Linked DNA regions of Coturnix japonica. The protein of the gene in region 3 binds, or shares a complex with, the protein of the main gene of each other region. Links are inferred from orthologs where the notes say so. Each region holds a gene or a part of one and is shown on either strand. Other genes may lie near its edges.

Region 1 (7,248 bases), on a different chromosome or scaffold from region 3:
CATTGCTGGCACTGCCTCTGCCCTCCAAAACCCTCTGAGCGGTGTCTGCTCAGCCCTCCTGCTCTGCATCTCCAATAGCATTCAGAGCAGGAACACGTGCAGGGGAATCTCTCTGGGATGGCAGGAGGGCAATGGAAGGTTCGCTGGGCCCCGAGCAACGTTTCTCCAGCAGCAGTTCCCTACCAGCCCTATTCACGTGGTGTTTTCTGAGGCTTCCTGCAGAGCAGGGGTTACAGCTGCCACATTGTGCAACTGGGATTCCGACATTCTTTGGGAACAGGCATCTGCGTGCAATTATTTCCCAACAGACAAAACGTCTCCCAGGGATTTATTGCCGCTATTACAAGCTTTGCACTTCACTCTCCAAAGCCTGGGCATCTTTCATTAACTCAGCTTTCTGGGTGTGTTACACTCACTCACCTGGGTGGGCAGCTGACACAGACGGTCACGGTGTTGTTCCTACCATCAGCTCCGGATGCAGGGCGTAGGGCACAGAGGATTACCTGCAGCAGATGAGCACTGATCTGGGGAGGTGCCACGGCCCCAGCAAACACCTGCCCCAGGCTCAGGGTGCTCCTCACCTCGTGCTGTTTGCACTGTGGCTTTGCTCCTGATGCAGGGTTAATTGCATGGCTCGGGCAGGCACTGAATGGCACTGACTCGATAAAGGCAGCCGTGCCCCACTCAGTGCCTGCACTCAGGAATCACCCATTGTTCTGTTGCTGTTTCACATAGCTTTCCTCTGGGATGGCTGAGCTGAGGCTCCTTGTCCAGATAAACCCACCGAACTCATTGATCACAGAGTTAAGGCTGGAAAAGACTAAATGGATTAAGTCCAACCCCACTGTGCCCAGTGACCATATCCCTCAGTGCCACATCCCCACAGTTCCTGAACACCTCCAAGGATGGGGTCTCCCCCCTTCCCTAAGCAGCTGTGCCACTACCTGAACACTCTTCCTGAGAATAAATTATCCTGATATTCAACCTGAACCTCCCCTGGCACACAGTGTGAGAACATTACCTTGTGGGCTTCCCAGACCCATTGCTACACCTCTGTGCTCTCCCTCCTTAGGCACTGGTTGGCTGTGGAATACGTCTGGGTCCTGGTTCCCTACATGACTTATGACATCTACGTCATGTACCTCTGCCACTGGCACAAGAGCCAAGAGAAAGGCATAGTAGAGAGGAAGCACTCGCTGACCAGTGTGTGGAGCTTCCTCCTGCAGGACCGGCTGATGGTCACCCACCACCTCTTCATCCTCATCGTGCTCACCCCTATCACCCAGGTGAGGGCCAGGCATGGATGTTGTGAACCCAGACAGGTGGGAGCCCAACACTGAGCTGCCTGGGGGGATTGTGAGATTAAGGTTGGAAAAGACCTCTAAGATCACCAAGCCCAACCCCAGCTCACCCCCACCATGCCCACTAATTATATTCCACAATGTCACATCTCCCTGTTTCATGAACGCCTCCAGGGCAAGGAACTGACATCAGCTGATACCAAATACATTGACCAAGAGGAAGCTTTCCTCAAGCTGTGTGTGTTGGATCTGTGCCTGTTACTTGGCTGGCATCACAGTCAACACCATTTCAGCTGAGTTTGGAAAGCATCTCTGCCTGCCAGGAGATGTGGAGGTGCTCAGTATCAGCTCCCAGCTAACCTGAAAGCAGCAAGATCCATTAGCAGAGCCTTGTATATGAAACATGTCACAGTGGGGAAGGTCCCGTGCTTACTCTTGTTATTTGCAGCACTTCAGGGGAGAGCTGGGGGATTTCTTCGTGGGCTGCATCTTCACAGCAGAGCTGAGCACTCCTTTTGTATCGCTGGGCAAAATCCTCATGCAGGTATGTGAGGAGGGTGGGTGCCATGGGGTGGGTGCCTGGGTCACTGCTGCCTCCAGGGGACTCTGGGAGCCTGCACCCCTTCCCCACCCCAGGATCCCCCCCTTGCACTGCTCACACAGCACTCACCCTATGCTCGCCTTCTTCCTTTCCCAGCTGAAGATGCAGGACACGCTGCTGCACAAGGTGAACGGGATCCTCATCCTGGTGACTTTCTTCCTCTGCCGTATTCTCCTCTTCCCCTTCATGTACGCAGCCTATGGCAGGCAGATGGGAATCCCTGTTTACATGGTGCCTTTCCGCATCCCCCTGCACTGCAACATAGCCAACGCCTCCCTCATCGCCCCGCAGCTCTACTGGTTCACACTCATCTGCCGCAAAGCCGTCCGCCTCTACGGCAGCTCACCTGCTGACAAGAGCAGGTAATGGCTGGCGGAGCACGAGGGCTGGAGAAGGGTTGTTCCCCCCCACAGCTCTTCTGCCTGCAAAGTCAGAGCTGCAGGAACCATCGTGGGAGCACAGCAGCATCGATGCCATGAGGCAGCCCTGCTGTCAGCAGTGCTGGTCTCAACTAGGGGGACTTTCCTCCCACGCTGCTCCTGCACCTTGAGCAAGGAAGAGGTCTCCCCATAAGCATAACATTCCTTCTAGGGTTCAATGCTGCAGCACCAAACTAATGGTTACATGAGAAGGGACTGTTACAGATCCCTCATCTTTCAGAGCTGATGGCAGCACAGAGTGAGGCACTGCACAAAGGATCTCATGGAGTGGATGCAGCAGTGTAGGCGATGCTGGAGCATGCCCAGCCCCAAGCAGCAGTGCTGGGGATGTGGGAGCTGCGTGCTGTCCCTGCTGGGCTCAGATCTGCTCCTCCAGCAGGGAGCAAAACCAGGCCCTGTGATTCTGCACAGCCTGTTCCCCAATGGTGCCTTTACACTACAGTTGCATTCAGCTTCTGACTTGCCCACACCTTGCTGCTGCTGGGCTCAAGCTTACTTAGGACTCTCCACTTAACTCGAAGGGGATTTTCAGTACCACTGTGATGTCTGTGGCTGACAGGGAGTAGGGCAGCTCTGGAGCCCCAGCAGGATCCAAGGATTGGTTGCACTCTGTCAGAGCAAGCCAGGCAGGCAAGAGCCATCACTGAAGGGCAGGAGATTGCAAAGTCCCTATCCCACCAACACAGAGCCCTTCTATGGCAGGTGATGGCTGGTTTCAACCCCCTTGCCTGGCTGCAGTTGCATAAGGGGATGGGTTCATCTGCCTCATTACCTCTATCAGGTAACTGAAAGCCCAACATGTTTCCTTGCCCCTGCTCTCCCTTCAGCTGACACCAGCAGCACTCTGGGTACAGCCTGAGCTCCAGCTCTGTCCTTCCTGCCCCATCCTGGTCCCCTACAAAGGGAGACCTGCCTGAACCTGGCAGGGAAGGAACTGCTCAGTGCGTGAGGAACCAGCACCACCAGCAGACATACACAAACTGGACAGGTGCCCTTCTTTCTCTGAACACAGCATAAAACTGAGCAGCCAGGTCCTCCCCACAGCCTCCTGCACAAGCCTGGAGTTTCCTCTGTTCCAGAGCATCCAGCTGCACCAGCAGTTGATAGACCAGCACCCACTCTGTGCCTTTCATTCTGTCTAAAAGCTAAAAAGGATGGCTGGAAGGGGCCCAGGCTGGGAGAACCATTTCTTCTGGGTGTCAGATCTTGTCCCAGCCATGGCTGTACAGGCTGGAAAGAATAATAATGATTTTACAAAAGCCTCTTCCAGCACGCAGTCGGTTATTGCACAAGCACTACTGTTACATTAACCATTGAGACAAGCTGCTGTTATAAACCGCTTGCTACCCATTGCAAATATTTGTATATTGCTGTTTTTATTACAGATAATGTGCCTTATGTAAAGACAGTCACTGAGGCATCTCAGTTTGCACTAACACTGCCCTATTTACTACTGTACCTATCAGAAGAGATCAATAAAGACTTCTTTCTTGAGTCACACCACCGGATGCCTCCCTCCCACGTGCCATTCATTGCTGGGTGGGGAGGCATTTAGGCAGCAGTTTGCCACTGTGCACCCACCCTGGGGCAGCAGCCCACACCTATTGCCCAAGGTGCCTGCTCATCCCGCAGAGCATCCTGCTTTGGCACAAACAGCAGTGCAGCCACAGCGAGGAGAGGACAGCCTGACAGAAGTACTTTCCTGGTGCCAGAGGCTTTTTGTGAGCACAGTGAAACTCCAGACCAATATTAAGCAAGGTTGGGGCCAAGGGACTGAGCTCGCAGCAGCAGTAGTTGTGTCTACAGCTGTTTATGTGGCTGCTTTGCTGTTTAGACAGGTTTGGAGGGAACAGAGCAGGGAAGAAATTAGTTCAAAAGTGAAAAATAGATGAGGTTTATTACGGATCTTACAGTTTTCCACATAGTGGTCCCTTGCAGCAGGGTCAGTGCTCTCCTGATTCTCCCTTCGGCTCTTCGTGCTGTCCCTGGCCAAGCAGGCTGCCCTAAGCACCCAGCTTGCTGAGCTTCTGCAGGAGGGGGCTGCGCAAAGCCTTGTCACTGATATTGTCAGTGATGGACTCCAGGAAATGCTTCTCATTGGCTCTCCTCAGTACGTTGCTGGGGGACGTATCAGCAGAACTGAATACCTCATACTGAGAGAGGACCTCCAAGGCCACCACCACCAGCGGCTCACTACACTCACTGTCTGGAGGCAGCATGGCTGCAATGTGCAGGAGGTGGCAAAACACCTGGATGCAGACAAAGGACACCTCCTCCCCGGAGCTCCTGTGCTCAGCAGGGTGCAAGGGGGGCCCTGTGGTGCTCTTGATGGAGCTCAGCAGGTCTGTGAGGCTGCTGCAGTACAGTTGGACCACATGGAGCCAAGCCTGTGGTGGCAACCAGTTGGAACAGCTGGAGCTGCAGAGGAGCTGGAAGCCCCGCAGGAAGAGCACGGAGAGCTGGAGGTAGCAGGCAAATGGCCGGAGGTTCAGCAGGGGCATGTACTGCACATACTCCAGTGTGTACGGCACGTGCAACACTTGCCTCTCCAGCAGGTTTGTGACCACATGCACAAGCCTCTTCCATTCACCGTGGCTGCACCAAGGGAGGACCTGTATGAGGGCCACCAGGAAGCCTTTGCTGAAGAGATTCACTTCCTCGGGGTTGTCCACGTTGACCATGAGGAGTGAGAGCATCGTCTCTCTGAGCTCAGTGGACACACAGCAGCACTCCATCCATGCCAGCAGTCCACTGCCCGGCCCGTAGGCTGGCAAAGGCTGGGATGTCCATTCATCTTCAGGGAATGTGCAGATCTCAAATAGCGTCGCTGGGACCTCATTCTTGAAGTGGTCTCCATAAAACTTCTTCAGTCGGAGACCAATGGTCCAGTCCAGCGATGCCACCTTCCTGTGAAGCCAGGCCAGAGACTGGACCCAAACCTCTGGGGAGGAGGCAGTTTCTGGAGTCACGACCTCACAGAGCTGGCTGAGGACACTCAGCACCAGGTCTTTGATCTCCAGGGATGGGAAGAGCTGGTCCTTAGGCTGATGCCAGTACTTTGTGTAGCCATCTAGAAGCTTGCAGAGGCTGAGGAGAAGTGGGAACGGGTGGCAGGACTTGATCCAGTGCTCTTCTGGGTAGGACCGTATTCCCAAAACTTTACTGAGGATCTGCAGGCTCAGCTCAATTTGAGCACAGTCTGATTTCAAATAGGGAAGGACAAAAGCTTTGGTCACTTCTGCAGGTGATACGAGTGGGGCAGCTGAACTTGGCTGCAGGAGAAAGGCCAAAAACTCAAGAAACTGTTCCTCCTCCCTTGCAGAGGAAAGCTTTTCCCATGCTGCCTCCTTCAGGCACCGTACCACCAGGCTGCCTGGACCATCATGAGTCTCCAGGAAGCTCAGAGCTGGGAAAGAGCAGAGGATTTGCGCCAGGAACTGATGTGCTCCTAGGTTGACTACAGCAAGACTACAAATCTGCTTCACAGTGGCCTCAGGGTGCAGCAGAGCAAGCCTAGCCACAGCAGCCACAGCCCTGGTAATGCCTTCATCAGATAAGCTTTTAGTGATCTGGTTGAAAGTCACATTGAGGTCCTCCTGGAACCCATCCATGACAACCTGCAAGTTCAGGGAGAGCCCTGGCCCACCCCAAGCCTCCAGGACACCCGAGATCACTTTGTTTTTGTCTGTTAATGGAAGCTCACTGTAACACTCCACAATGGCTTTGATCATTTGCATCTGCATCTCCCGGGCCTCACGGCCTTCACAGGATGTGGCAAAGTTCACCAGAGTCTCCAGCAATTTCCAAACCAGCTCTGGTTTCTGGAAAAGAACCTTGTTTTTCACAAGGCAGTCAACCCAGCCCTTTGAAAAGGCCCAGGTCTTTTCAGAAGCAAAAATGGAGCACACTTCCATGTGCCGGTGCAGCTTTTGCTCAATGATTATCATGGCAACTGAGGATTCAAGGCTGGTGTCCAAATCCTTGTTCTTCTGGGTGGTGCTGATCTCTGTGAGAAAGCCATCAACTGTCTGTGCCAGTTGTAATGCAACACGCATCTCATCCTCACTCAGGTCTCCAGTCTCAGAGAAGCGAACCAGGATCTTCCTGAAGGTGGAAAGAGTATCAAGGAGCCAGTAGCTCTCATAGCATTGATTCTCTGAGCTGTTCAGGACACCCCGCAGCTCCTCTCCCCAGGCACACAACAAGCTGTGAAGAAAGTCCAAGCCAGCTATGAGTTCTTCATGCGACAGCTTGGCCATGGATGAGAAGCTCATGGTCCTCTCAGCTTCCTTCACTTTCTCATCCAGCTCGCTGTGGTGGTGCTGGCTTTCAGTGTCACTGCTCCAGAGGCCGACCACTGAGCTGACCTTGGCCAGGTACTCTGCAACAGGGAGGGGGCTGCCCTGTGGCTTCAGCTCGGTGAACACAGACAGCAGCTCCACCAGGTTGCCCAGGGCGTAGCACTTCATGCGGGGTGAGGTGATGCTGCCGTAGCTTTGCTTTAACCCCTCTATGAGGACCCCAAGCAGGCTGTCTGCAGCAGGAGGGCCATTCAGAGAGCTGGGGTCCCCCTTGAACCTCTTTGGGGGCTGCAAGCCGTCATCCAGAGCGCACTCACAGCCGTGCTCACGCACCAGGGAGCCGAATGCAGCCACCGTGCTGTCCTCCGGATCCGGCTGTTGTCTCAGCGCCTCCCACCACACATCCATGAGCAATGTGACATCCGACGGGGCCGTCTCGTGGCTGACATATTGCACCAGGTGCCGCAGCTCAGCCCGGCTCACGTCGGGGGGCAGCGCCAGCAGTAACTGCACGAAGAGCCGGGGAGCGCCCAGGGCCTTCACCAGCTCGAAGAGAACGGTGCGGTTCACGTCGGGGATCATCGCTCCCACGGAGAAAAAGGCGT
Region 2 (7,882 bases), on a different chromosome or scaffold from region 3:
AAGACAACAAATTTCGTCTCTTGACACAAATGTCTGCAGGAAAGCAGTATTTAGAACACGCACCAAAGGTACTTTTCTTGGGATCTATGAGTTCGATTTGAATCACCTTGGTCCATTAATAAAAACGACATTTTGTAGTTGAATGGACACAAACCCACCAAAAGCGAAGCTGTTTTCCAGACATGCACATTGTTTGAGAGCAGTTATTTGATCAGTGTTTCAACAAACAGTCGTAGTGATATTGAAACGTTACGTTTGAGTTACTGGTTGATGGTGGGAGCTCTACTGAATGCAAATGGAAAATCATTGAGCTGATGTTTGTATTCTGTGTGCCATTCAGGAAGAAACTTCTGCCACTGTCACAGTACACTGCTGAACAATAACAAAACCTCCATAGCTTTATACTGTCAAAGTGATAAGTCATCAGTTCTTCAATATTTTCCAACAAGCTTCACCCCTGAAACTCCTTTAAAATGTAACTTTATGTTTAGTATTTAGCATTTACCTGTGGACTAATCAGAGGGGGCCTATCGAATTTGGGAATAAGGAGTATTGTAACGGCTGAAGTTTCATCAATGCCTGCATGTAAGTACTTCTCATAGCACTCTGTTATTAGTTCATTTGATAACTTTAGATACCAACTTCACTTTACTGTTAAAAAATAATGACAGTGAACCTCTGTGACATTAAAGTGAAAAGCTACATTACAAACTTACATTTCCATTTGGAGGCATCAGATGGAAAAGGGCATACATGCAGAACTCTACTGCAGTAATTGAAGATAAAATCAATCTTATTGTGGTCTTTTATTTCTAGAAGTCAGTAAGAAAGGTAGTAAGTGAAGTCCATTCTAACTACACAAGCTGATTAAGATGGAGCTAGAATATTGAAATGTTCCTTAGTAATGTTTTAACAAAGCCATGAAAAGGAAGTAGCTACTTGGAATAATAAATCTAAAGTTCATGCTTTGATCTGACTTTGCATTCTCTTTGCAGGTAAATTCCAGGTGATGATACAGAAAATGTAGAGCACGTTCAAATCTGGGTATCCACCTTCAAAATCCTTTGTCTGTGGTTTTGGTATCTTGGTTCAGCTTTGTATGTAGCGTGTAAATTATAGCACCGCGCAGCACAATTCCAAAGTATATAATAAATGTTTGTTAAAATAACACTGTTCTCGTATCTCAGTATGAAATTAATTCTGTACCAACATATTAATGTCCATCATGGTGAAAACTCTCTTCTCAAAAGTTACCAACAAAAGCTTTGTAGTACTAAATCAAACAGTAGATTTTAAGAACAGAGTAAAGTCACATTGAAGACTCAGTTGGTATAAGAAACAAATGTGTTTTGTGTCTCCTAAGAAATGCCAAACTGCTGCCTTTCTGTAATCACTCCTTACTGTGTGGCAGCAACTGTCTATTATCCTGAGGGAACAATCACTGCATAAATCAACACTCAATTAACAGCATCCAGTGGAATATAGAAATGATATGAGCAAATAAAGATAACTTATTTCTACAAAAATAAAGGTATATCCTATGCTTCTAAAATTAATGCCTGGTTTTGGTTGGTTTGTTGTTTTTTTTTGGCATCAGAAGAATTGTACAGCTAAGAACATCTACATCCAACAAAGGCAATTTGCTTTAGTTTATTGTGCATAAATTCAGTATTAATGTTCTTTTTTTTTTTTTTTTAATTGTTAGCTACAACTCACTTCTGTAATGAGTGTGTGCAGGAAGATGATTAAGCCAGCAAGAAGCTATAAAGTCATCACCAAGATCCTAGAGGAGACTGAGGTTTGCTTGATACTTCTTGTTACAAGTTTTGTGTAACAATATGTATCTTGCTGTGGGTAAGCATGAAAACACCTTGTTTAAAGCAAATTCTACTGTAAGACTTTTCTGTTGGCAGTCAGGCCTTATGCTTTCAGAAATGTGAGAATGTCCTGTGATAGTGATTCCATTTATGCTTTGAGACCTGCAAATAACAGGCTAGATATAAAGAATAATGCATTAGAACAACGTTTTTGTCTGCTTTAACCATCTTCTGTGTATGTTATCCAATTGTGTGGTTGAGCAGGAACACTGGAACTTGTTCTGTAAGCTCTTAAGGAAGTTCTGAAGCTTGTAATGGATCAAGCCTTCTCTAGATAGTTGCCTTTCGTAGCCTATCAATCTGTGCTGGGAAGCTGGAGGTTACAGACATGATAACCAGGGGCTTACTGTAATTAAGATGTGAGCAAATTCAGATCTTTTCAGGTACTGTGAATGCTGGCTCAGATAAGTTGTAACTGGATAATTAGACAGATCTAGGAAAGATCTAAAGCACCAGCAGAATGCCACTGTGCTGTTTAGAGACCTAGTAGAGATAAAAGTAACCGTGGCAGTTGGTACTCTGTGGGGATGAGCTTTGTGACTGAAAACACTGAGCACTTACACTAGTGGTTTACAGGGAGGTTGTGTTTGTCCACCCGTACAATTCAGGCTTCTCTGAAACTGTAAGGTTAGAGAATTAGCTAACTGCTATTCTTCCTGAGTGCATTTTATGGGTTCTTCAGTTGCCAACTCATGCTGTTTTAAAATACTGTTATTAAAGGCATGGACTTGCACTGTGCCTAATAGATGGATGCTTCAGTGACACCCATTAGGCCCACAGACCTTGGCAGGCCATTTTGTAATTTGCTTCTCTAGAATTAAAACTGTAGTAGTTACTTTCATTTTCACTTGACAGCTAAGATTACTGTTCCATGTAAAAAAGCACTAATAATCCCAAGTTACAGTAAAGGCTTAACCAGTAACTTGTGCTTAATGAACTGTCTTTGTTAAATAGTGAGGGACTGACATCTGTTTCTTGTACAGTGTGGAATTCAATGCTGTCTATCAGTCTGCTGTTACCAGCAGAAATGAGAGTTCCTTTAAATTGGATTTTCAATTGTTGAAGATAATTAGGACCCAACAGAATCATGTATGTATGAAGCAGACACCAATATTCTTGGCAAAGCACTCCCTGTTCAATATGTTAAGTCAAGTAGGTGAGCTAATGTATTTGTCAAGATTCCATACAGAAAATAAGTTTGTCCATTGTGTTTAATAGATGCTTCTGTTGAAGAGTACTGAGTACAGCTGTGCCTTTTCCCCTGGCTTCTGCTACTTTCCACTGTAAAGCAGCAAACTATTACTCAGGAAATCTATGTACTACCTCCCTTTATGTTTTTGTAACATAATTGTATCAGTAATTCACTGGCTATAGTTGTACTTCATTAGTAGTATTTAAGTTCAGGAACTATATCCTGAAAAAAACACATTGGATCCCAGTTGTGTAGGCTTCTGAAGTTCTGAAGGCAGTTGTTAAGTACTATGAAGACTGAGAATAGCCACAATGTTTAAGAACACTTTAAGGTATGTTTCAGTTTTATTAAAAAAAGACCTCAAGGGTTGTGTGTTAGGTAACGAACAGTCGTCTGTGACATCTGCTTAAACTTAGAAGTCTTTACCTAATGGCAGCATCCACAGGATTACTCAGATGGTAAAAATTTATAATGAACAATCTACTACACTACAACAGTTGTTTGAGGGATAACGAGAGATGATTCATGGACCATTTTATGATGAGGATACTGAAGAGTAGTACCCTCATGCTAAAGATCAGCTTACGTTATTCACAGCTGTTCCAAATATATTACTATGTTGAGGGTGCTCTGAAGAAGTTGTATTGTACTTCACAGGAAGACACTGCATGCTTCAGACCTGTATGCTGGTTGTACTATGGCAACACAAAATGGTTTTCTCAAAAAAGTCTAGGAGGGCTCATCAGCTAAATCACGTTGATCAAAGTACCTAGGGGAGAGAAATGGAATACAGTAAGAAGACTCTAATGCAACACACTCCTTACTTTGATCTGAGTTGTTAAACTATCTGCTTTCCAGGCTTTAATTTAGTATTTCTATCATATTTATAGCTTCACGATTGAGGGAGATCACCAAAGAAAACTAGTGTGTCTCCTCTGTTTTAGTCTTAAGTTTGTCTGGAGTCCTTGTAACTAAGTATGTCTGCTACATATATCCAGACTGCTTGGACTGACTTTCACTTTAAAGGAATCTATGTTAGCACAAGGATAATCACGCTTATTCTGGACATGCTCTGCTATTTTATATCTGTAGTCTGCATTACCTGCTAACTAGGCAGATTAACAGGTTCAGAGCTGACACTTGCTCTTCGTTCTTGTTTTCCTGAAAGAGAAATAAATACCAGAACAGTTCCTCTGTTAACCACATCCACTAGGGAAATGTTACCTGCCATGTTATATGTTGTAGTCTTCCTCTCATTTTCTAGCAGACTTCAAATGTGAAAAATAACATGCCAAGAATTTAAGAGCTGAAAAATCACTTTCTTGATAATTAGTGAAGTTAAAACAGTCCTTTGCAGAACATTAAATTAAATCTTACCTCTAGTACTCTCACTTCTGAGCATCGCCTTGCCAGCTGTCGAATGAGGGAGTGAGCTTCAGGTAGCAAAGGTTTTTCAAGGCACGCCAACAGCGCATAAAACCATCTACCCTGTGTGGATTTAAATAGTGAGTTTTTAATTATGGGCATTTCCTTGAAGTTTTACACACTGACAACTTAACCTGATGTCACGGTTTTATGATTTTTGGTTACTGGTTTTCCACATCATAACATGATGGGAACCTCTTTTCTCCCCACCTCTCTTTCGACCTTGCAGATTAAGTTATTGTGGGGAACAAATGAAACAGAGGAGTTTTAGCAGTACCTGAAAGATCTGTATCTGTTGTTTTGTAATTACCCTTTCAGAAAGTTCTGCGTATGTTCAATGTAGTATCTAGTCAGGTGAGTTTTGAGAACAACTGAATACAGTGCACGGATCTAGAAAACTATTTGGAAACTACAGTAATTTCACAGAGAAGAGAGTATAATGTATCCCTTGTTTCATGTGCTCACATGCAAGTAGTTAGAACAAAATTAAGAATTACCAGTTCCGGAGTAAATTTTTTCTCTCCAAACCAGCTTATCAGGTATTCTAAGACACTGGTTACTGTGGCCTTCGAAAGAGAAATATAAAGACACAATGCGATATCTACAGAGTTTTGTTTTGCTGTCCTTCTGCCCAAAGGATTATATTATGTAAAGAGCAAATGTGATTTTTGTCTTTAAATACAGAAACATTATATGTTTCTACTTGGCTGTAATTCTATATGGCGTTCAGTTCAGGGTGAGATTATATGTAACTTTAACTTAAATTTAACTTAACTTAAACACTGTAAGCCCCTAAAAGATGCACTCAAACATTAGAGATTTCTATAAAGAAATTATGAGAAAATACACTTACATCTAGTTACAGTAAATGTTTGCTGGTATAACTGTAGTTAAAGGTGAGATAATATTTTTTCCTTGTAAGTGTACACTGAATAGCAGCTGAAATAAACTATCACCTTAGCACAGAAAAATAGCTGAGATTTATGCAACTGCTGGAACACAGGAAGTACTGACTTTTGCAATATCACTATGCTGTTCTAAGAGGAAGGCTTAAGATGTAGGCTTACCTGATTCATTCTGCTTACAATGCTTAGCAGAGGAGGAAAGCCCACCTGAAAAAAGTCAAGTTGGAAAATGCAGAAACATCACAAACACCTTTTTTTTCTAAGTTAGAACTTACTAACATTTAATGTTAGTATTTGTAATTGGTAATTATTTTGAATTCTGTTACAGAATAGCATGTACAAAAACAGGGAGCAACTTTACAAAACACTAAACCAGACTATGGATAAAACTTCAGCTGGCAGCGAATTAGCGTGTTTTAGCTGGGAACAGATGAGGGAACTCCCCGAACTTTTTGACTGAACTAATAGATTTGTTCTCTGCTTCACTCAATTTCAACTTAAAAGGGAAGAGAAATGGGTCTTACTGGGCTCATCAGCCAGCTTGCTTTATATTTAGCACAACGTGATAATAAACAGTAGCGTTGTTTCTGGTAGTTATTTGTGAAAATAACAGTTGAAAATGAGTCCTCTTATACTCACCTTTATGTAATCAATTCCTAGATTTTCATGGTCAGATTCTGCATCTATTTCTGAATATACTCTTTCACCCAGGCAGAACTTCTTCCAACCTTCTTCATCCTCTAATTTGGGCTAAATTAAACAAAAATAATTGAAACCAGTGAAATATAGCTATCTTGAAGACACCAAAGAACAGACATGATAATACCAGTTGTTGAATTACACTGTAAAACAAAATTAACCACAAATGTAATGACTAGAAAAAACAGAACTGTTAAGAATTCTACTTACCATGTTAACATTGCTGTCCAAATCCTGTGACCGCCAGTGATTTCTGTGCTTGTTCAGGCTCTGAATAATTAAAGCCAAATCAGTTTTAACTTTACAGTTATTGGATCCTAGCCATAATCTTATCTTCACTTAAAAAAGTATGTTTTGAAATCAGTAAAGGCATTACTGAGCACATATTCATCAAGCCTCTTAGTATAAATATAACTGTTTCTTATACTGGGTTTTTGGAAATAATATTAAAGTCAAAGGAATTGTAAAGTCTACTGCATGACGTTTTAAGTAGTAAGTTTTACTAGTCTTAAAATCTTCATATACACCCTGTTTGAACAGTGTATAGAGAGAGACTGCTCAGTTCTTCAATTCTTTTCTGTCAAAGCAAGATACAAATGTGGTAGGAAAGTCTGTGCTAACACTACCTCCGCACTGCAAATCCATTTTAGCAGATCGGTATTTCTGAACATAATGGCTCCCACTAGTGCCCATAGGACTCTAAATGGACAGTGTTTTACATATATGAAGCTCATGGTGAGGTTGGAATCTACTTGTTCTATAGTTCTACAGAACAACGTAGAACACTGTTGATTTTAGTGTCACTGTGTAACATCACAGTGATTTCTGTCCTTCATGGAGTGCTATGTATCATTCAGTGTAAATACTGCCAGATATTTTTGCTTTAACAGGACCACAGAATGGCCTGGGTTGGAAGGGACCTCAAGGATCATGAATCTCCAATCATGAATCTGATCAAAATGTCATGAATCTCCCTGCCACGGGCAGTGCCACCAACCTCCACATTTAATAATAGACCAGGCTGCCCAGGGCCCCATCCAGCCTGGCCTTGAACACCTCCAGGGATGGGGCATCCACAACCACTCTGGGCAGCCTGTTCTAGCACTCACCACTCTTATAGTAAAGAACTTCCCCCTCACATCCAACCTAAATCTTCCCTCTAACTTAAAACCATTTCCCCTTGTCCTGCCATTATCTACCTTTTCAAAGAGTTGACTCTCAGGAATGAGTTTCATCAGAAGTTTAAAAGCCTCACAGTATATTCACATTTTATTTTTCTATTTTTATTAAGAAATTAAAGCAGTTGACTAGCAACATCTGATCAAAATGTCATGGCTTTATGGCAGGAAAGATAGAAGGTTGTCCCCCCTAAAGCACAGATGTGCAAGTTTAAAGCATCCCTCCAGTCTCCATCACACACAGAATTTTCTACCTGACGAACAGATGAGAAATTGGCCACTTGCTGCTGCTGCCACTTGAGTGTTGGAGAGTATCCTTCCGGAGCAGGCTGACAGCCAGAAATCTAAGAAAACACTGGCAATAATTATAATGTATAAAAAGCTTTATAAAAATAATCCTTAAAGAACAAGAGAAGTAGTAAACAACAACGACAGACTGCCAGCAGATAAAAATACAAGTACTCGCTTTAAGAAAGGCAATTTCCTGACAACTGATTTAACAGTTAGTCTGGACAAAATTCATCCTGCTTGATGGTGCATGTATGCAAAGAAGGAAAATTAAACACACAGAATGTGCTGTTGAAGAATCATTTAAGGTCATGTTTT
Region 3 (8,282 bases):
GCCTGTTTTTGCGACACTTTGCGACGCTGTGCTCGGCGGGAGCGGCGTGCAGGCATGGCGGCAGCGGTGCGAGTATTGCCCGCATCCCCCAACTGGTACTGCAGCCGGTGCAGCCACACCAGCGGCGACGGGCGGCTCTTCGGCTTCGCCGCCAGGCACCGGATCAGCGTGTTGGATGTCAGCACCGCTACGCCGACGTTTCACGGTACGGCCTCGACCCCCCCTCCTCCCTCTGCGTTTATATAGGAGCGGCCGAGCTCCCGTTGGAAATGGCGTTCTCACGGGGCTTATCCCGGTGCAGGGGAGCTGATCGGGCACACGGAGCGAATCGCCGCCTTCGCCTTCTGCCCGCACCGCGAGCACAGCGCCCTGTGCGCCAGCGGAGCCGACGACGGCAGCGTGAGGCTGTGGGACGCGGTGGAGCTCGAGCAGAGGGGAGAGCACGGCCTGCACCAGGTGGGACCGGAGCGATGATGCTTGAGGTGCTGGGTGCTGCTTGTTCCCATAGCCTGAGGTGTACGCTGCCGTTACAGCATCGTAATGGGATGCTGGATGCTGTTAGCACCTCCTTGCTGCCGCACCCAGCTGGCTTTGCAGCCTCCTGGTGTTTCCAGTTAGTGCATCTCAGGATGCTGGTAGATAAATGGTAACTCAAACAGTTTAGAACAGGGAGTGCTTGTAGATTAGTTGCTTGTTATCCTGTGCTATACAGTCAGAATGGTTGGCTTTGGGGTTCAGGGGAGCCTCTGTGAGCAGCACAGGGTGCTCCTCAGGGGCTACTCTCAGCTCATTGTAGAAAGTGTGGTGCCAGATCTTCTCCATATCATCCCAGTGTAAAAGTGTTAAAGGTGTATGTTTGGTGGCCCTGCTAGGCAGGGGGGTTGGAACTACATGATCCTTGAGGTCCCTTCCAACCCGGGTCATTCTGTGATTCTGTGTAATGGTTGAGTTGGAAGGGACTTCGATGATCTCTAAGGTCCTTTCCAACCTGCACAAGACCGTGATACTGTGTGACTTCAAAGCCCATCTGGTTCCAACCCACTTCTGTGGGCAGAAACACCTCCCACCATATCAGCCATCATCCACGGCCTTGAGCACCATCAACAATGGGGCATCTTATGGGCCTCACCTTCCTCTGAGGATGATCTCTAGGCAGGCTGTTAGAGCAAGTTTTCCATCCCAAAAGAGCCAACTGCTAAATGCACTTTGCTTTATTTTGTGCTTCAGTTCTTTAAAGAACCCACAAAATGAATTCAGTGGCTAAGCGTGCTCAATGGCTTTACATGTATTCAATTGCCTTTCTTCAGAATGCAATCACAGCGTTACACTGGTCACCCCTTGTGAAAGATCTGATTGTGTCCGGTGATGAAAAAGGGGTAATTGTTTGCTACTGGCACAGCAGAAACGACAGCCAGCAATTCTTCCCAGAGCCTCGGACAATCTTTTGTCTCACTTGTTCTCCTCATCATGAAAACCTGGTGGCTATTGGGTAAGTGTTACGTTTTACTTTCCGTTCTTCCATCTCAAAGTGTCTTGTAAATTAGATTTCATTAACATTCCTCACATTACAGGTTACATCATCTGAAGAGAGTTTCATAGCTTTACTGTCTCTTTACCAACAGCTGCCATTTCAGTCCTTTGGACACCTAAGACTACTGAACAAAGCAGGAACATGAAAGCCTTTCAAAAGAGATGAGAGAGAATTAAAGTTATTTGTGGAAAAGGGAACAGCTTTCCTTATATAAAAGTCTCTATTACTTTATAAGGCTCTGAAAACTGTATTGCTGATAAATTGGTGTTGTTCTTGGAGCCAAATATACTCCCTGGTTGCACTTCACAAACAGAAGGCAGCTGTGTTTGTGCTAGTGCTACACTTGAGCTCCAGTTGACTGGTCTCATTGCCACTTGTGATTGGGCTTCTCTGTAATGTGGAGACACTGATCCTGGGTAATAGCTTGCAAATCAGATTAGTTGTTATTCCGTGAGGGTTTAACAATCTATCATTAACTGAAATCTCTGTTTTTAGCTACAAGGATGGCATGGTGGTTATAATTGATATCAGCAGGAAAAAAGAAGTTCTTCATCGGTTAAGAGGTCACGATGATGAAATTCATTGTCTGGCCTGGTGTCCTGTACCTGGAGAAGGAAGGTTACCTGCTTGGCAAGATGAGCTCCAAGGTACGTAGAAGTGATACGTAGTTTGTGAAGTGATACTTAGCTCAGGAGAATGTCCCTGTGGAGAACTAAATTCCTTATCCCTGTAAGGTCAGTAGGTAGCTAATCAGAGGTAACTAGTTCAAGTAAAATATTTTCTGATCCAGAGTAGTAGATTTTCAATTAACGTTTAGAGCTTTGAATTCCAAAGTATAATAACAGACTTCAATGGTGTTTCCTTCAGAAGAAGGTGATGTTCCAAACGGGGAGCTGAAACAAGATACAGCCATGAAGAAAAGTTGTTACTTGGCTTCAGGAAGCAAAGATCAGACAATACGGATATGGAGCTGTACTAGAGGCAGAAGTAAGTAAGATTAATCATTTGAGTGAGACAACAACATAGGTGAAGTGCTCCTTTCTAACTGTGGGTTTCATTTGCTAACTCAATAGTTTAAATAGTGGGGAGCCTACTTAAAGTTCAGATTCTCAGGTCTTTTTTTCTGAGAATTTGGATGTACAAAGTCGAGACGATCCCTTTCTTTTCCAAAGGTGTAATGACTCTGAAGTTGCCACCCACAAAGAGAAGAGGTGGAGCTGTTGATCCTGCTGTTAAAGAGCGCATTTGGCTCACTGTCCACTGGCCTTGTGGTCGTCCTACAGAAATTGTATCCAGCTCTTTTGGGTAAGTAGGAGACAAAGCAAGTAAAATTAATTGTACATTAATTCATTGATATTTAAAGAACAACTGGCAGGAAACACTGACACCCCCATCTTCCTCCCTTCCTAGTATAGCAAGATAGAGGACAGGCTAAGAGTGTAGGGGAAGTTCAGTCTTCTAGAAGGCTGTTATTTGCCCCACAATTCATTTAATAATCTAACTGAATACTGACTGCTAATGGTACTATTTGTGGTTTTTGCCCATTTAATGGAAGCAGTTGACATTTCCACTTCCAATGTGATTAGGAATGGATATCTGTAGGGTAGTTTTATCTCTGTAGAGGGACGTGTAGTGCATGTGTGTCTATCTGTATTACTCTCACACTTGCAGTATGTGCGTGAGCGCTGATATGATTTTTTTGAAGTGAAGAATGAAATATACACACTTTACGTTTCACAGAGGAGAACTGCTACACTGGGATTTAACTCAACCTGGAAAACGCAAGTGGACACTAATGGGATCTTCAGAAGGGCAAAATCACTCCCGTATTGTGTTCAATTTGTGTTCCCTGAAGCATCAAGACAAAGAGCTGCTTCTTTCCATTTCAATGGACAGAGATGTAAGAACCCATTTTAAAATTAACATCAAAATAGCAGCGGCAGTTCAGTTTGACTGAGTGAAACTAGCACTTTGATGACCACACATTTTCTCCTAAAGCAGGCTTATCCCTGCCCTTTATAACATCATGGCTCAACATTTCTTCTGAGCACAAGTTGTGCATTTCTTTGTTAGCATGTAAGCTCAAGCTTTTACCTTGGAGGACAGAATGGTTATGCCCTCTGGACTTGAAAAATCAAACGTTTAATAGCTGCCTTTTTTGTGGGGGGAGGAAGGGTTGTTATGGTTTGGTTTTGATTTTTACAGGCAGCACAGTGCCTCCTATTTTGAATTTAGAAGAGGACCATATAATTAAACCATAGCCCTGTTCCATCGCAGTCTTGCAGTTAATACAGCTCTGTCTTTGACTCATACTGACACGTGCATACTCTGAGTCTTCCTCTCACTTGTGCTTTGTTTTTCCCCCCCCATCATACCAGTCACTTTATCATTCGTTGTTCCTTAAATATTCTTTAGATAAAGTGCTGGGACCTATCAACTCTAGATTGTAGCTGGACAATGCCTTCACTTGGGGGATTTGTCTACAGTCTCGCCTTCTCCCCTGTGGACCCAGGCTGTCTTGCCATTGGTGTTGGAGACAGCATGATCCGCGTTTGGAATACTTTGTCTATGAGCAACATCTATGATGTGAAAACCTACTGGCAAAGCATAAAATCCAAGGTTACAGCAGTAAGTGTGCTTTACATTCCCCTTTTTTCTTGTCTCTTTTCTCACTCCATTTTTCTCTTTGAGGAATGTTTTTCTCTCACACTGAAGAAGGTTTTTTCCTAACTAAATCCTATAATGCCGAGTTGTTACTTCTGCTCTCAATTTGCATGATATAAATTTTAGAATTGATCAGCATTTTAGACATTTTTAGAACAGTAGGTATTTACAGTACACATACTGAAAATCAGCTGAAGTTTAGGTGGTTATTGCCTCACTTTCTTGGTTTTGTAAACAACTGTGATCATTCCTTGTGTCATCCACAGTTTCCTTTTGTTTGCTAGGAAGTTTAACATGTAGAAAAACTGGCACTGATGCCTTCAGTTTGAATTTGAACAGCAATTGGCTAAATACTAACATCTAGTAAACGATGGCAGCATTACAACATGTTAGTTGATCACACCAAAAGTATGACTCTATGTTGTAATGTAGCAGTCAGGTAGCATTTCAATGATTTCAGTTCCTTTCCTCTTGTCCCAGTAACTGTTAAGGGAAGAGTCCTTGATTCACATCACAATGTGGTTAAATTGAGTTGCTGTAGTTAGCATGGTGAATATAAGGGACAGTGCTTTTGATTTCAGTGCTTAACCTGTTGTTTATTATTTAAAAATAAATTGTCAATTCCTTTTGTCATTATGGGGCTCTTTGTACTTTTCTTGCAGTTAGCATGGCATCCAACTAAAGAAGGTTGTTTGGCTTTTGGAACAGAGGATGGAAAGGTTGGCATATTTGATGCCTTATCCAGCAGGTAAGAAAGTAGTTTTCAGATTCATTAGTATTCGATCTTGCTGGTATGGCAGCACACATAGATGACGTGGTCTTTCCTGAGGTTTACATTTGATATTTGTTAAAAGTTAAATTTAAAGTAGTCAGATGTATTTTAAGTGTATCTTTTCATCTGTTCCTTGTGACTGGCAGCTCTTAAAGAAACCTTACTCAAATTGTGTAACAGTCACCTGTTGGAAGTCATCAGTCAAGGATGAGTTAAGCCAGAAAAAGTTCCATAAAATGAGCAACATGCAGATGCAATTCATTAGGACAGTTTTGTTCTGATTTTAGTAGTGTTCTACAGGAAGCATCAAAGGCTTGGCTGAGCCATTGCTTTAGTATTTTGAAGCACCTGTCGTCTGTTTTCACTACTGGAAATACATTAGTTTGAATTTTGGGTTTTTTTTTTTTTTTGCTTGTTTTGGATTTGGTTTAGTTTCAGTTTGGTTTTGTTAGGGGTTTTATTCTGTATTTCCCCTTGCTGCAATCAGACTACTCCTGTTTCCTTACCTTCCTGCACAGTGCTAAGAATAAGCCCCCACAGATCTCCAGTACTTACCACAAGAAGACTGTATACACATTAGCCTGGGGACCTCCAACTCCTCCACTATCTTCTGGTGAGTGTTATAATGTCTTGTTACAAAGTAGAAATCCATACAGAGCACACAGATGCCACAAAGTTGGTGTGCTTCCCTTCCTTATGGATGTGAGCTCCATCTGCTTGGTAGCAGTCCTTTCTATCCACTAAGGATGCGTTCTGCCTGAGAAACTGGTAACAGTTTTGCCAAGGGAGCAAAATAATCTGTTCTGTATTTTGAAAGGTTCGGGAAGTGGATGGGAGTAGAGCACAACACCACATAGTTACATGTTTGTAATGCGCTGAAATAGCTATGTAGGCTCTCCACAATAATTGGTTAGGATCAAGTACAGATTATTTAGCTCTAACTGTTTTTCTGTCATTAAAACTAAACAGAACAGCTCCATTTGTCTTTTATGCAACCTGGGGGGGTTTATTGGCCAGGATTTAAAGGGAGTTTTAATGTGTGCAGCAATTGTGCTATGGAGAATGAATGAGGGGTCCTTTTAGGGAATTGTATTTTGAGAATTTCTTGCTGCCAGATCTCAGAGAATCAAAGCATACATACAGCATTTTAAAATACTGTTTTGATTTATAGTAAGAATAATTGCTTTTCCTAAGACTGACGAAGAGCATAGTATACTTAGATTTTTTTTTCCTCTGTTGAGTAGGAGAAGAAGGTGAACATCCCTCTGTAACTTTATATAGTTGTGCTGGAGAAGGTATTGTTTTTCAACACAACCCTTGGAAACTTAGTGGAGAGGCAAATGACATCAACAAAACCATCAGAGACACTAATTCAATTAAAGTGAGTATGATTCTTGCCTTTTTCTATGGATTTGTGGTTATAGTTCTGTAGCCCATAGTTGTAGGCTTTTGAAGTTTCTTGGAACATGCAGAACTTACTAAGGAGCATAAGGAGGTGGAACAACAAGGTCCTTTTGGAATCAAGACATTTCATTTGACACGTTCCACTGCGCTGGATGTAGCCAGTGATTCTTCCATCATCTTGCAGTTCATTCAGTCCTCAATTGCCCAAACTTATGTCACTACTACAAAATGCAGCAGACACTTGGGTGGCTTTTGTTTTGCAGACTAATTGTAATTCCTAGTTGCCAGTTGTGTTCTGTTGATGTATTCAAGAGAGACCTAAGAGTTTGTGTGATGGCTGGTAATAGCTGCATCTTCTCTCCACAGCACAAACTACCTGCACATACAGAGATCAGCTGGAAACCAGATGGTAAACTCTTGGCCCTTGGCAATGAAGATGGGTATGTTTCGTTGTCAGGATTGGTGCATACACAGCCTTAACCTACAGGAGTCAGTGTTTTGATGCAAAAGTACTTTTTGTTGTCCTGGTTTGGTTCTTAACTTTCATTGCCTATGTATCTGAATTGTGATAATACAATATTCTTTGCTGGTATTTCATTAAGTTGCTCTTGGCATGGAGGATCTATATCACATTACATCATTTTTTCAAGGATCTACACACAGCTGAAATACACTTTCTCTAAGTACTAAATTGGAATGCGACTTGGATCCAGAACAGAAAATCTCATTTCGTTTCATAGACCATCATTCAGGACAAGAAAAACAAAATCACATTTTCACTGACTGGAGTATTTCTAACACTGTTATTCTTGCATTTCAGGTCAATTGAAATATTTCAGGCTCCGAGCTTGAAGTTGCTCTGCACTATCCAGCAGCATCACAAATTGATTAATGCTATCCGATGGCATCATGAGCATGGGAGTGATCCAGAGTTGAGTTACTTGATTGCTTCAGGCTCAGTCAATGCCGTTATCTATGTGCATAATCTGAAGAGTGTTGTAGGTAATGGTTTGCAGATTCTATCCCATGTCTTGGCATCTTGTTTTGCTTTCCTCTTGGTTTGCATTGCTAGCCGTAGCTTATCCTTTTATTTCTTCTTTCAGAGAGCACTTCAGAAAGTCCTTTGACAATAACAGAACCTTTTCGAACTCTGGCGGGACACACAGCAAAAGTCACAAGCCTTTCTTGGAGCCCCCACCACGAGGGAAGATTGGTATCAGCTTGCTATGATGGCACTGCACAGGTACTTCTCTACAACCACTCAGAAGAGTATTTCTTTTAATTTCAAGTCATCCTTTCTGCAGTATTTTAAAAGCAAGCCAACTGAACAAGAAAGCTTTTCTGAGTTCAGCTGCTTAACTACTGCATATTTACCCTTGGCAACAATCTCACACTGGATACCTGATACAGAGGTATACTTTTTTCTTTTGGCTTATTCCTGCTTTTCCAACACACTGCACAAATGAGAATATTGCAAAGAACACTTTTAGGTTGAATGAATGAACAGAGGGAATGAACAGAGGGAAGCTGAGCAGTAAGTATGGTTTTGTGCCTTGCAGTTTGATTTGTAAGTCCAGTAGCATTTTTGGATTCTTAAGAAAGACATTAAGCTGGCTTATTGGTACATACAAAGAAAGCTTTCTGAGTTTTCTCCGTCTGCTTGCTTGTTATTGAAATAGCTCTGCAAACTCAATAGAAGACAAGCTCCTACAAATGTAAATTGCTAAACAGGAAGCATAGAGTTTCACACCTGGAGGAGATTAAGTAATAAAGTTTCTTTCTTGATCATAAGGTATGGGATGTTATGAAGGAAGAGCCACTCTGCAACTACCGAGGGCACCAGGGCCGGCTGCTGTGTGTCCAGTGGTCACCAGTGGACTCAGATTCTATTTATACTGGAGCTGATGATTT
Region 4 (8,780 bases), on a different chromosome or scaffold from region 3:
GAGCATTACAGCTTTCTAGAAGCAAAGCTTAAGATTGCATTCTGCCTTTTTAACACAAAACATATATATATAATACTAATTTAAGAAACTAATAGACTCGTTTAATATAATTTAGCATTTTGCCTAGGCAGGCAAGGAATATCTAAGCTAAAATCAAATTAAATTATAACAAACTGTCCCACGCAACATCCTGGTCACCATAATGGAGAAAATGGATTTGAGGGATAGACCACTCAGTGGATTAGGAATTGGCTGGACAGTTGCACTCAAGAGTTGCAGTTAACAGCTCAGCATCCAACCAGTGACGAGTAGCATTCCTCAGGGACTGGTACTATTTAATATCTTTATAGATTATATGGACAGTAGGATTGAGTGCAGCAAATGTGCAGATGACACCAAGCTGAGGTACAGCTGACACACTAGAGAGAAGGGATGCATCTCAAGCCAGACAGGCTTGAGAGGTGAGCTCACACTAACCTCACAAAGTTCAAAAAGGACAAGTGCAAAGTCCTGCACTGGGGTTGAAGCAATCTTAAGCACAGACACAGGTTGAGCAGATTTTAGCCTGAGAACAGACCTGAGGAGATGGATTTGGGAGTGTAATTTGATGAAACTCAACACAAGAGAAGTGTGACCAGCAGGTCGAGGGAGGTGATCCTGCCCCTCTAAACTACCTGCATGAGACCTCACCTGGAGGTACTGTGGCCAGTTTTGAGACACCCAGCATAAGAATATCAAGCTGTTGGAGTGGGACCAGAGGAAGGCCACCAAGATGATGAGAGGGCTAGAGCACTTCCCCTACGGGAACATGCTGAGAGAGCTGGGGCTATTCAGCCTGGAGAATAGAATGCTCTACAGGAACTTTACAGCAACATTCCAGTACCTGAAAGGGCCAACAGGAAAGCTGGAGGGGGACATTTTAGAAGGGCACATAGGAACATGGCAAGTGTAAATGGTTTTAAACTGGAAGAGAGTAGATTTAGACTAAACATTAGGAAGAAATTCTTTGGTTTGAGGGTAGACACTGGAACTGGTTGCCTAGTGAGGTTGTGGATGCTTCCACTCTGGAGGCATTCAAAGCCAGGCTGAAAGGGGCTGGGAGCAACCTGGTGTAGAGGGAGGTGTCCCTGACTATAGCAGGAGGGTTGGAACTAGATGTTCTTAACGGTCCCCTCCAGCCCAAACCATTCTATAAATTATGAGTTTCTTATTTCATTAAATAACTCAATGCTGTTATTTCAATTTCTAAAATTCAGAGAAAAAATAAAAGACCAGTCTCTTGACTATCTTGAATGAAGGAACTGAAAAAGAATTGGAGCCAAAACAGAAACAAGGAGACTGCAACTGTGATTTCACTCTATATCTACTGCCCTTCCACAAAGCAGAAAGCCACTATTACTCTATGCCATAAATATAAGAATAACGAGACAAGTAGACATGAGATGATGCTGATCACATCAACCAGAAAGTTGTGGAAGCAGCAAGGCACATCTTCCTTCTTTTTTGGCCAGCATAGATTGAGGAAGGATCTTTATCATTTCATCTCCCTAGCAGCCAAGTCTGTCTAGGCTTTAGCCCATCTACATTTAAGGGGATGATCTATCTTACAAAACCAGAAAAGCTTTCTCAACTTACCACATGGAAGAGAAAGACAGTTATGATTATTAAGAAGGCACTGTCTCCAGAGAGGCTTCCCTGCCTTTTATCCCAACCCTCGCCCAATGCATGTTTCAAGGCTTGACTGCAGAAGACAAGGCAGAGACACTTCAGCATGTCTTCACAAGACCTCACCTAGAATTTAATTTCCTCTAGGATTAGAAAAATCAAATTAATTCTACTATTCGGTTATCAGAGACCACCTCTTCCTATCAGGGAGGACACGTTTATGGTGCAAATCAGAATTAACAGAAAAATTATATCTTCAACAACATGAAAAACTGGATTACATGTGCATATTCTAATCTAGAATCAAACAGCCTTTATTACTATTTCCCAAGGAAATAACAATCCTCTGACAGAAACTGTACACAATAAGTAAAAGTGAGCTTCAGAGAAAACTACTAGAAGTTTGGTTTTTTTTTCCTTACCGGACAGTTTTATCATCAGCTGAAAGAATCTGTTTGTCATCACTGCTCCATAAAGCCTTTTTAATACCAGAAGTATGCCCACTGACAACATCAGGTTCTTGAAATAAGAACAAGTATTTCAGTACACATAAGAATATAAATTAACACTGTGCAGTAGTTTAGGAACTCTGGTCATCTACATGGATTTCTATTTACTAGAAGCTGCAAAATTACTTCAAACACTACTGACTTTTATTTACAGATTTCAATCTAGGAATCTATCCAATTGTCTAAACTTAAAAAGCTTCACTAGGTTAAAATCAATATTAATTAGCTTGGTATCAGTTTTCAGCAGTTCAGTATTAATACAAATTTAAGCACACTTCAATATGAAAAGTCTTTTGCCTTTCGGGTAGTGTAACTTTATTCAGACCTAGTCATAGTTAAGTCCCTGTTAAAGTCAATCACACTATCCTTAAATCTCTTCATAGATAAGCTCTATTTTACTTCAAAGACTAAAACAATTTGATTTAGTATAGAAAACTGTTATAGACACATTCTTTGTACAACGAGCCTCAAGTGTGTCTTTTGTGATTCACAACAAATTTCACACGCAAGAAAAATCAACCAAACAAAACCAACAGTAACCAGTTGTAAGTGCAGACTCACCTGCTTCCGGCTTGCTTAAATCATAGATACGCAACAATTTATCTTGTCCACCTGTTAACAGATAATTGCTATCCTGAAACAGAAGTTATAAAGGGTCAACTCTACTTTGAATTGAAATACCAGCCTTCATCCATAAGCCTTAAAATACCAGTTATTTCTCTCAGTTTCTAAAACATTTATTACAACTTGTTTGTAAGAGCAAAGCTTAAATGCATGCTAAATTACTTGCCAGCCTAAGCATATGTATAAAAAAAGTAGCAAATAAAAAAATATGCCGAAGACCTTACCTCTCTGTTGAATATGCTATAAAGATTTTCCATACCTGTGTAAAATCCACACTTTTGACAATGTGTTTGTGAGCCAATGTGATTAGTTCATCTCCCGACACAGCATCCCACACTTTGCTAAATGACAAGAGAGAACACGTACATTTCAATAGCTCCAGGATAAATGTGAACACACAAGTTAAGTTGTCTCTCCTAATCTACCCTATACAATCCTTCCTGATACTATCATAACATTTTTAATCCTAAATGCTACATTGTAATGAACTACAGACCTCATATTCTTTCACTGAAGAATTTCTTGTTACTGACCCATCATTTTCTTTCACTAATTTCTTCAGGATAACACATCAGCAGCATTTTAGATTTAAGACAAACAAAGGCAGCTCTTCTCTGCAACTTTTATGGACTTAATTCTAATAACAGGATTTGAATTGTCAAATATATTAATGTATGCTGCAAACAGTTCAAACAAGCAAAACAAAAATAAAAGAAATAATTCATTAATATTTCTGCATGTCTTCTTCTAATAAAAAGTGGTACACAAAACGAAGATCACTCTTGCCACTCTCGTATAACTACAGTACTGAAGTCGAGAACTGCACAGCATTGTTTATTCCAATAAATCAGCACTATAACTAAGTATATATGTCAAGAAGCAACCACAGTTGCTCAGCAAGATAGAATTAGCTGTAGCTACTCATAAAAACCTTAAATTCTAGGCTGTAATACAGATATAAAGTAACAACTTAAACAAAAACAAAACCACAGCAACTTACTACAGCCATATTAAAAAAAAAGGCTATTGACTAAAATCAAGACTCCAAAAGCAGGTAATCACTTACGCTGTAAAATCTGCGGCTGCTGTAGCTGCTTTAGTGGCATCTTTGTTCAACGTAGCACCCCAGACAGCACCTTTATGACCTAGGAAAGTGCCGATCCAGTCTCCTGTGTCACCCTGACGTAGCATAGGCTTTCCATCTTTGGAAAAACAAAACCAATATTCAGACAACATAACAAAAAAAGCAAGCTGTGTTAGGAAACAATTCCCTCACACCAACATGGAGCAATCAAACTGCCACCAGACTGGCCTCCCTTAATGGAAACACCATATACACTGTGAAATGGTATAGCTGAAGAACTTAAATGTACAGATGCACCTCTGAAAAGGAGCACCTTTTGCTGTTTTTTCTTTTCTAATATAGCCAAGTGTTCCTTGGGCAGGTCAGTTCAATTCATTTTAGAACAATATTTTCAGACTAACAGTACACAAAAAAGGAGTCTGGGGTTTGTAATGAGAGATGTTTAAAACACAAAGAGATATGCTGTAATAACGAAATAGAAAGCCTTTACTGTGACTATTTTTTGCTAGGACACAACCAGATATAATTCATGCAATGAATAGAGCTGAACATTAAGTCCTCAGAGACATCGAGGAATGTTCTTTTACACTTGTGAACACAAGTGAACATTAACTCATATGCATAGAAATGAAAATGCTACTCTCATAAATAAGCAGAAGAGAGTTCTTGTGGGAAAGGAAGCAGAAATCACTGCTCCGCAATCAGCAAGGCAGCTACCTTGGTTGCAAAGGAGCTGGTTTTAAAGTGTGTAAAAGTTATAGCTACTTTCAGATAACGATTTTCAAGCCTTTCCTTCGCAAGTGGGATTCAGCCTGAATGAATGGGAGCCTCAAAGCCCTGCGGGCTAAAACCCGGCAGAACCAGCCTCCCACCGGTTCCCTTTTCCATCTGGTCACGCTGGAAGCAGGTATTTAGAACACGGAGGGCCCACTGAACGCTCACCTCAACCCTCCTCCCCACTCTCCCCATCGCAAACCTCTCAAATAGGTGGCTATGGCCACAGCCACGCGCAACCCGCCAACAGCGGCCCGCAACCCACAAGGCCTCAGTGCGGAGCAGGCCCAGCCACTGCGACTATTGAAAGGGGCCGGTGAAACGAGCACGGCCGCCCACCCCTCGCCCCCCCAGCCACGCTCACCCTTGCAGGCACTGATAAGGAAGTAGCCGTAAGGGGTGACGCCGCTGAAGGCCAAGTCCACCACGGGTCGCGTGTGCCCGGAGCACGTCAGCGGGGTCTGCCTCATGGCCATGGCGGCGGCTGAGCTCGGGACGCGCAGGGAGCTGGGCGGGGACGCGGCTACACTCCAGCCGGGTGGGAAACGGCGACCGCGGTGTTGGCGGCAGCGGAGGAAATGACGGCGGAGGAAGCGTTCCGGAGAGGAAATACGTCAGAGAGCGGGTGCGGAAGGGGAAGTGCTGGTAGCCGGTACGTGAGCTGTGGTGTTCAAAGAGGAAACTGCTCTGGGGAGGAGATCCCACCATTGATGTAATTGATAAACATATTGAAGAGCATTAGCCCCAGTATTGACTCTTATGGGATCGTCACTGATCTCCACCTTGACACTGAGCCACTGACCACCTCTGTCTGCATACTATCTCACAAGTTCCTCATCTGTCAGACAGTCTGCCCATCAAATCCATTTATTTCCAATTTGGAGGGAATGTTACAGGGGACCACATCATACCAATCAAAATTTGATTAAGTACTAAAGTCCAAAGAGATTATCCCTGCCTCTTAAATCCATTGTAACACTAACGTTTAGGTGTGTTTATTCCCTACAGTCTGACAATCTTTGGTTTAGAAATGGATTAATTCAGTGCATTCAGACTAGACAACTTTTAATACAAAGATTCTAAGAGAAACCTCAAAGTGAAAAACAGGCACTCAGGTCTTCAAGAAAGGCTGGAGATATTACTGGAAATAGGAAAGGTGGTAAGAGTAGATATTTACAAATGAAAGCCTCACAAGCTTAGAATAAAAATAGTAAGATTTTGTTTTATTTGGTTTTTAGTCAAGGTTGTTGTGTATCAGACAGCAGGAAAGTAAGGGGGAAAAAAAAACATCACATTTTTTTATTCAGTGTTTCATATTTATCTGTTCATTATCCAGACAATTATCCAATAGAATTAAATAAATATTCATTAACTCCAGCTTGTCAGGAAGTAATCAGGGACTTGTAATCATATAGAGCAATTCACCCCATCACTGCACAGAATAGCAAGTGTGCCAATCAGATGTTATAAAGCACCTGGGCCTGACTCTGTCACTGGTGACTTATAATATTTGCTTGATTAGAAACATCTTTTCACAGTGATTGAATTTTCTTAGAAATCGTTGCTGAACATGAATAAAGCTATCTTAGTGAAAAATCATGTTTCTAGTGCTTTGATTAAAGTAGATCAAGCAGAGATTGAATCAAGGAGTTTGGTGTACATATTTACATTTCCAAAGATTCCTTTCTGCTCCTGCGCTAGATAACAATGTTGAAAATGCCTTCTCTTGCCACTGAGGGGAGCTCCGTACATATCTATTAGCACGTCACCGCTCTAGCTGAGAGATTCTGCTCTGGGGTGACTTTTTGATTGTGATTTCAGCTTGTACAAAACTGCCTTATGGACATAGCACTAAAGCTACTGGATGCTTAGGTCTCTCAAATGAATCAGTTCAACAAGTGAATGGAAAGCTTCCAGTGTCACAAGAGGCAGCAGCAGGGCAATCCCTTAGATGACCTTGAATCTTAATTACTCTAATAATCTGAAGACGCAGTGTAATGAGTAGGCACACCAATGCTCCTTACCTCTGTTGAGTTTTCCTTTGGAGAAATGTTCCTTATTAATTTGTACAGATAAATTAGGAAGAAAAGAAGAAGAGGAATAGCTGTTTGCTGAAGGATGATGTGATGCAGATGCTATGAGGAGATATGAGAGCAACTGCAGAGCATGTGGTTGTATTTTCACTGGGGAATAATTACAATTGAGAGCCAGCCTTAAGCAGTCAAATATCACTAAGTAACTGAATGAGAGAAGTAATCATATCTTACAAATAATAGAAAAGTGTGCATCAAGGCAATGATTCTTTTATAGAACAGCCCTTCATGGCAGGTAACTGCATTGTTTTTCTAATTTCATGAACCTTATTATAACACAAATGTAGGGAATGTGAGGGCTGCAGCGCAGAAACTCTTCTGTTGAGTGTACATGGCAGTATCTTTTGAGAATGTGAACAGAGGCAAAAGGGACTAAACAGGGAAAAGAGCTGGAAAGTAGTGTCATAGCTTTTCAGTGAAAACGCTGCCTACTTAAAGTTTGATAAGTGATGACATAACTTTCTCCTGTTGTTATCCTATCTTTTTGCCCAGCACAGTCATCTTTCTCCTTTCAAAGGACAGAATGGAACCTGAAGACCAAGGATCAGAGAAGCTATTACAGCAAAGATAAAACCATTTTTAATAATCCTCATTGTCTTAGTAACTCTATTGTTGGTGCATGTTCTGAATGTTCCAGTTCTTTGTCTTCCAGTCAGACGGAAAATTTCCTGGGGGTCTAAGTTGCAAGCAGACAAAGTCAGGGCTAAAATTCTTCACAGAAGAGTCAATTCCATGTTCCAAAATCCTGTACTAGGATTGATCGTGTTCAATCAATTCATATAACAGTAGAGTTTTATGATAATCTGATGAACGTGATATGGACTTATAGAAGGAACAAATGTCAATGAACAGCTTTATAGAGACTTGGTGGGATGAAAGGGAACAGATTATCTTGAAGTGTTAACAGGGGAGAGAGAAGGAGAAATGCAGAGGAAAGAGACAAACAAGTCTATTACCGTGCTTAGTTATTGTAGCCAACTGACAAATGAGTGTTATGGGTGCTAAATTACAGGTGAAATTAGCCATTTATATTTCATTTCTCAACCAGCAGCTTTGCTCCCTAGGCAGTTTGAAGCATGACTGCGTTATAAAGGAGGACACATTGTTATGAGTAACGTAATATTCTTTTTCCACCTCTTTTCAAGTCTCATATTGGAACCACTTGATAATTCAGGCTATGTAAATAAGTATGCACTTCTGCAAAGGATTTAAATTCACAGTGAAAGTGAATCAGATTAAAACAGCTTTGCTAAAAGAGAATTCAAATTGTCTGCCAGTTGACTCACTTTCTAGGAAACGATTTAGCAAAATGCTTATTTTCTAAGTATTATCACATCTGTAATACTTCCCTCACTGTAAGGGAAGTAAAACAAATTTTCAGGAATGAGATCAAGCTGAATTAATTCATAATTTTAAGCTGCTTTGATGTTTTCACTTGGAAGATGTTCTTCATTACAGATTATATTTATGCTTATTGTTCTGAAAAGTTACAGTAATTCAAACATCAGCCTATAAACAACAGCAGACAGACTTTATCATGCAATCCTTAAGTACTTAAGCTGACTGTACACAAACAAATCTGTGGCACTAAACAGGATCCTTCCAGTGGTGCCAAGGGAATGGATCAGTGTCACTGCATGTCTGCTCTCCATCACCTTTAGAAGTTGTGGAGATCAAGGGAGGTTGTTCAGAACTGGAAAAAGGAAAACAACACATTCAACTTCAGGAAAGACAAGAGGAGGATCCAGTGTCTACGGCCCTGCAGTAGACCTCATCTGTGTTCCTGAGAAGTTTGTAAGGCAATTTCTAGACCATGAAAAACAATCAGCAATAGTCAGCATGAATTTACCAAGGACAAACAACACCTGACCAATCATGTTGCCTGACTTCAGCAGGACTTTTACTGCATTCTTTCAGAGTGTCCTTAAAGTCAAAATGATAATATGTAAGTGGATAGATGGGAGGAAAATTGACTGCACTTCTGAGCTCAAGGAATGCTGTCTCAAAGTCCAACCTCAGGGATTGGTGTTG

The links.
Region 1: GEMIN5 (region 3) and GEMIN4 share a complex: the UniProt entries of both Homo sapiens proteins name them as parts of the SMN-Sm complex. The link is inferred for Coturnix japonica from reciprocal best matches to the Homo sapiens genes GEMIN5 and GEMIN4.
Region 2: GEMIN5 (region 3) and GEMIN2 share a complex: the UniProt entries of both Homo sapiens proteins name them as parts of the SMN-Sm complex. The link is inferred for Coturnix japonica from reciprocal best matches to the Homo sapiens genes GEMIN5 and GEMIN2.
Region 4: GEMIN5 (region 3) and STRAP share a complex: the UniProt entries of both Homo sapiens proteins name them as parts of the SMN-Sm complex. The link is inferred for Coturnix japonica from reciprocal best matches to the Homo sapiens genes GEMIN5 and STRAP.

What each region holds. Positions count from the first base shown.
Region 1 is NC_029534.1:5,683,675-5,690,922, reverse strand, and holds the end of GEMIN4 (gem-associated protein 4), read right to left. Parts: coding exon 4,346-7,248; 3' UTR 2,269-4,345; coding exon of another isoform or gene 1,999-2,268; 3' UTR 1,972-1,998; intron 1,846-1,971; coding exon of another isoform or gene 1,750-1,845; intron 1,287-1,749; coding exon of another isoform or gene 1,073-1,286; intron 811-1,072; 3' UTR 582-810; intron 504-581; 3' UTR 314-503; downstream 1-313. Other genes in the region: TLCD3A (TLC domain-containing protein 3A), read left to right, coding at 1,073-1,286, 1,750-1,845, 1,999-2,268. UniProt on the Homo sapiens protein: The SMN complex catalyzes the assembly of small nuclear ribonucleoproteins (snRNPs), the building blocks of the spliceosome, and thereby plays an important role in the splicing of cellular pre-mRNAs.
Region 2 is NC_029520.1:34,104,624-34,112,505, reverse strand, and holds the end of GEMIN2 (gem-associated protein 2), read right to left. Parts: intron 7,621-7,882; coding exon 7,531-7,620; intron 6,369-7,530; coding exon 6,309-6,368; intron 6,150-6,308; coding exon 6,039-6,149; intron 5,607-6,038; coding exon 5,562-5,606; intron 5,061-5,561; coding exon 4,992-5,060; intron 4,558-4,991; coding exon 4,447-4,557; intron 4,283-4,446; exon of another isoform or gene 4,231-4,282; coding exon 4,172-4,230; exon of another isoform or gene 3,839-4,171; coding exon 3,799-3,838; 3' UTR 3,384-3,798; downstream 1-3,383. Other genes in the region: TRAPPC6B (trafficking protein particle complex subunit 6B), read left to right, coding at 1-68, 492-585, 996-1,027. UniProt on the Homo sapiens protein: The SMN complex catalyzes the assembly of small nuclear ribonucleoproteins (snRNPs), the building blocks of the spliceosome, and thereby plays an important role in the splicing of cellular pre-mRNAs.
Region 3 is NC_029528.1:6,014,049-6,022,330, reverse strand, and holds the start of GEMIN5 (gem-associated protein 5), read left to right. Parts: upstream 1-25; 5' UTR 26-54; coding exon 55-205; intron 206-301; coding exon 302-456; intron 457-1,307; coding exon 1,308-1,489; intron 1,490-2,026; coding exon 2,027-2,178; intron 2,179-2,386; coding exon 2,387-2,518; intron 2,519-2,703; coding exon 2,704-2,836; intron 2,837-3,271; coding exon 3,272-3,431; intron 3,432-3,946; coding exon 3,947-4,159; intron 4,160-4,857; coding exon 4,858-4,943; intron 4,944-5,355; exon of another isoform or gene 5,356-5,485; coding exon 5,486-5,580; exon of another isoform or gene 5,581-6,211; coding exon 6,212-6,348; exon of another isoform or gene 6,349-6,737; coding exon 6,738-6,811; exon of another isoform or gene 6,812-7,191; coding exon 7,192-7,373; exon of another isoform or gene 7,374-7,474; coding exon 7,475-7,614; exon of another isoform or gene 7,615-8,163; coding exon 8,164-8,282. UniProt on the Homo sapiens protein: The SMN complex catalyzes the assembly of small nuclear ribonucleoproteins (snRNPs), the building blocks of the spliceosome, and thereby plays an important role in the splicing of cellular pre-mRNAs.
Region 4 is NC_029516.1:57,763,648-57,772,427, reverse strand, and holds the start of STRAP (serine-threonine kinase receptor-associated protein), read right to left. Parts: upstream 5,256-8,780; 5' UTR 5,133-5,255; coding exon 5,021-5,132; intron 4,001-5,020; coding exon 3,865-4,000; intron 3,140-3,864; coding exon 3,058-3,139; intron 2,809-3,057; coding exon 2,736-2,808; intron 2,185-2,735; coding exon 2,088-2,184; intron 1-2,087. UniProt on the Homo sapiens protein: The SMN complex catalyzes the assembly of small nuclear ribonucleoproteins (snRNPs), the building blocks of the spliceosome, and thereby plays an important role in the splicing of cellular pre-mRNAs.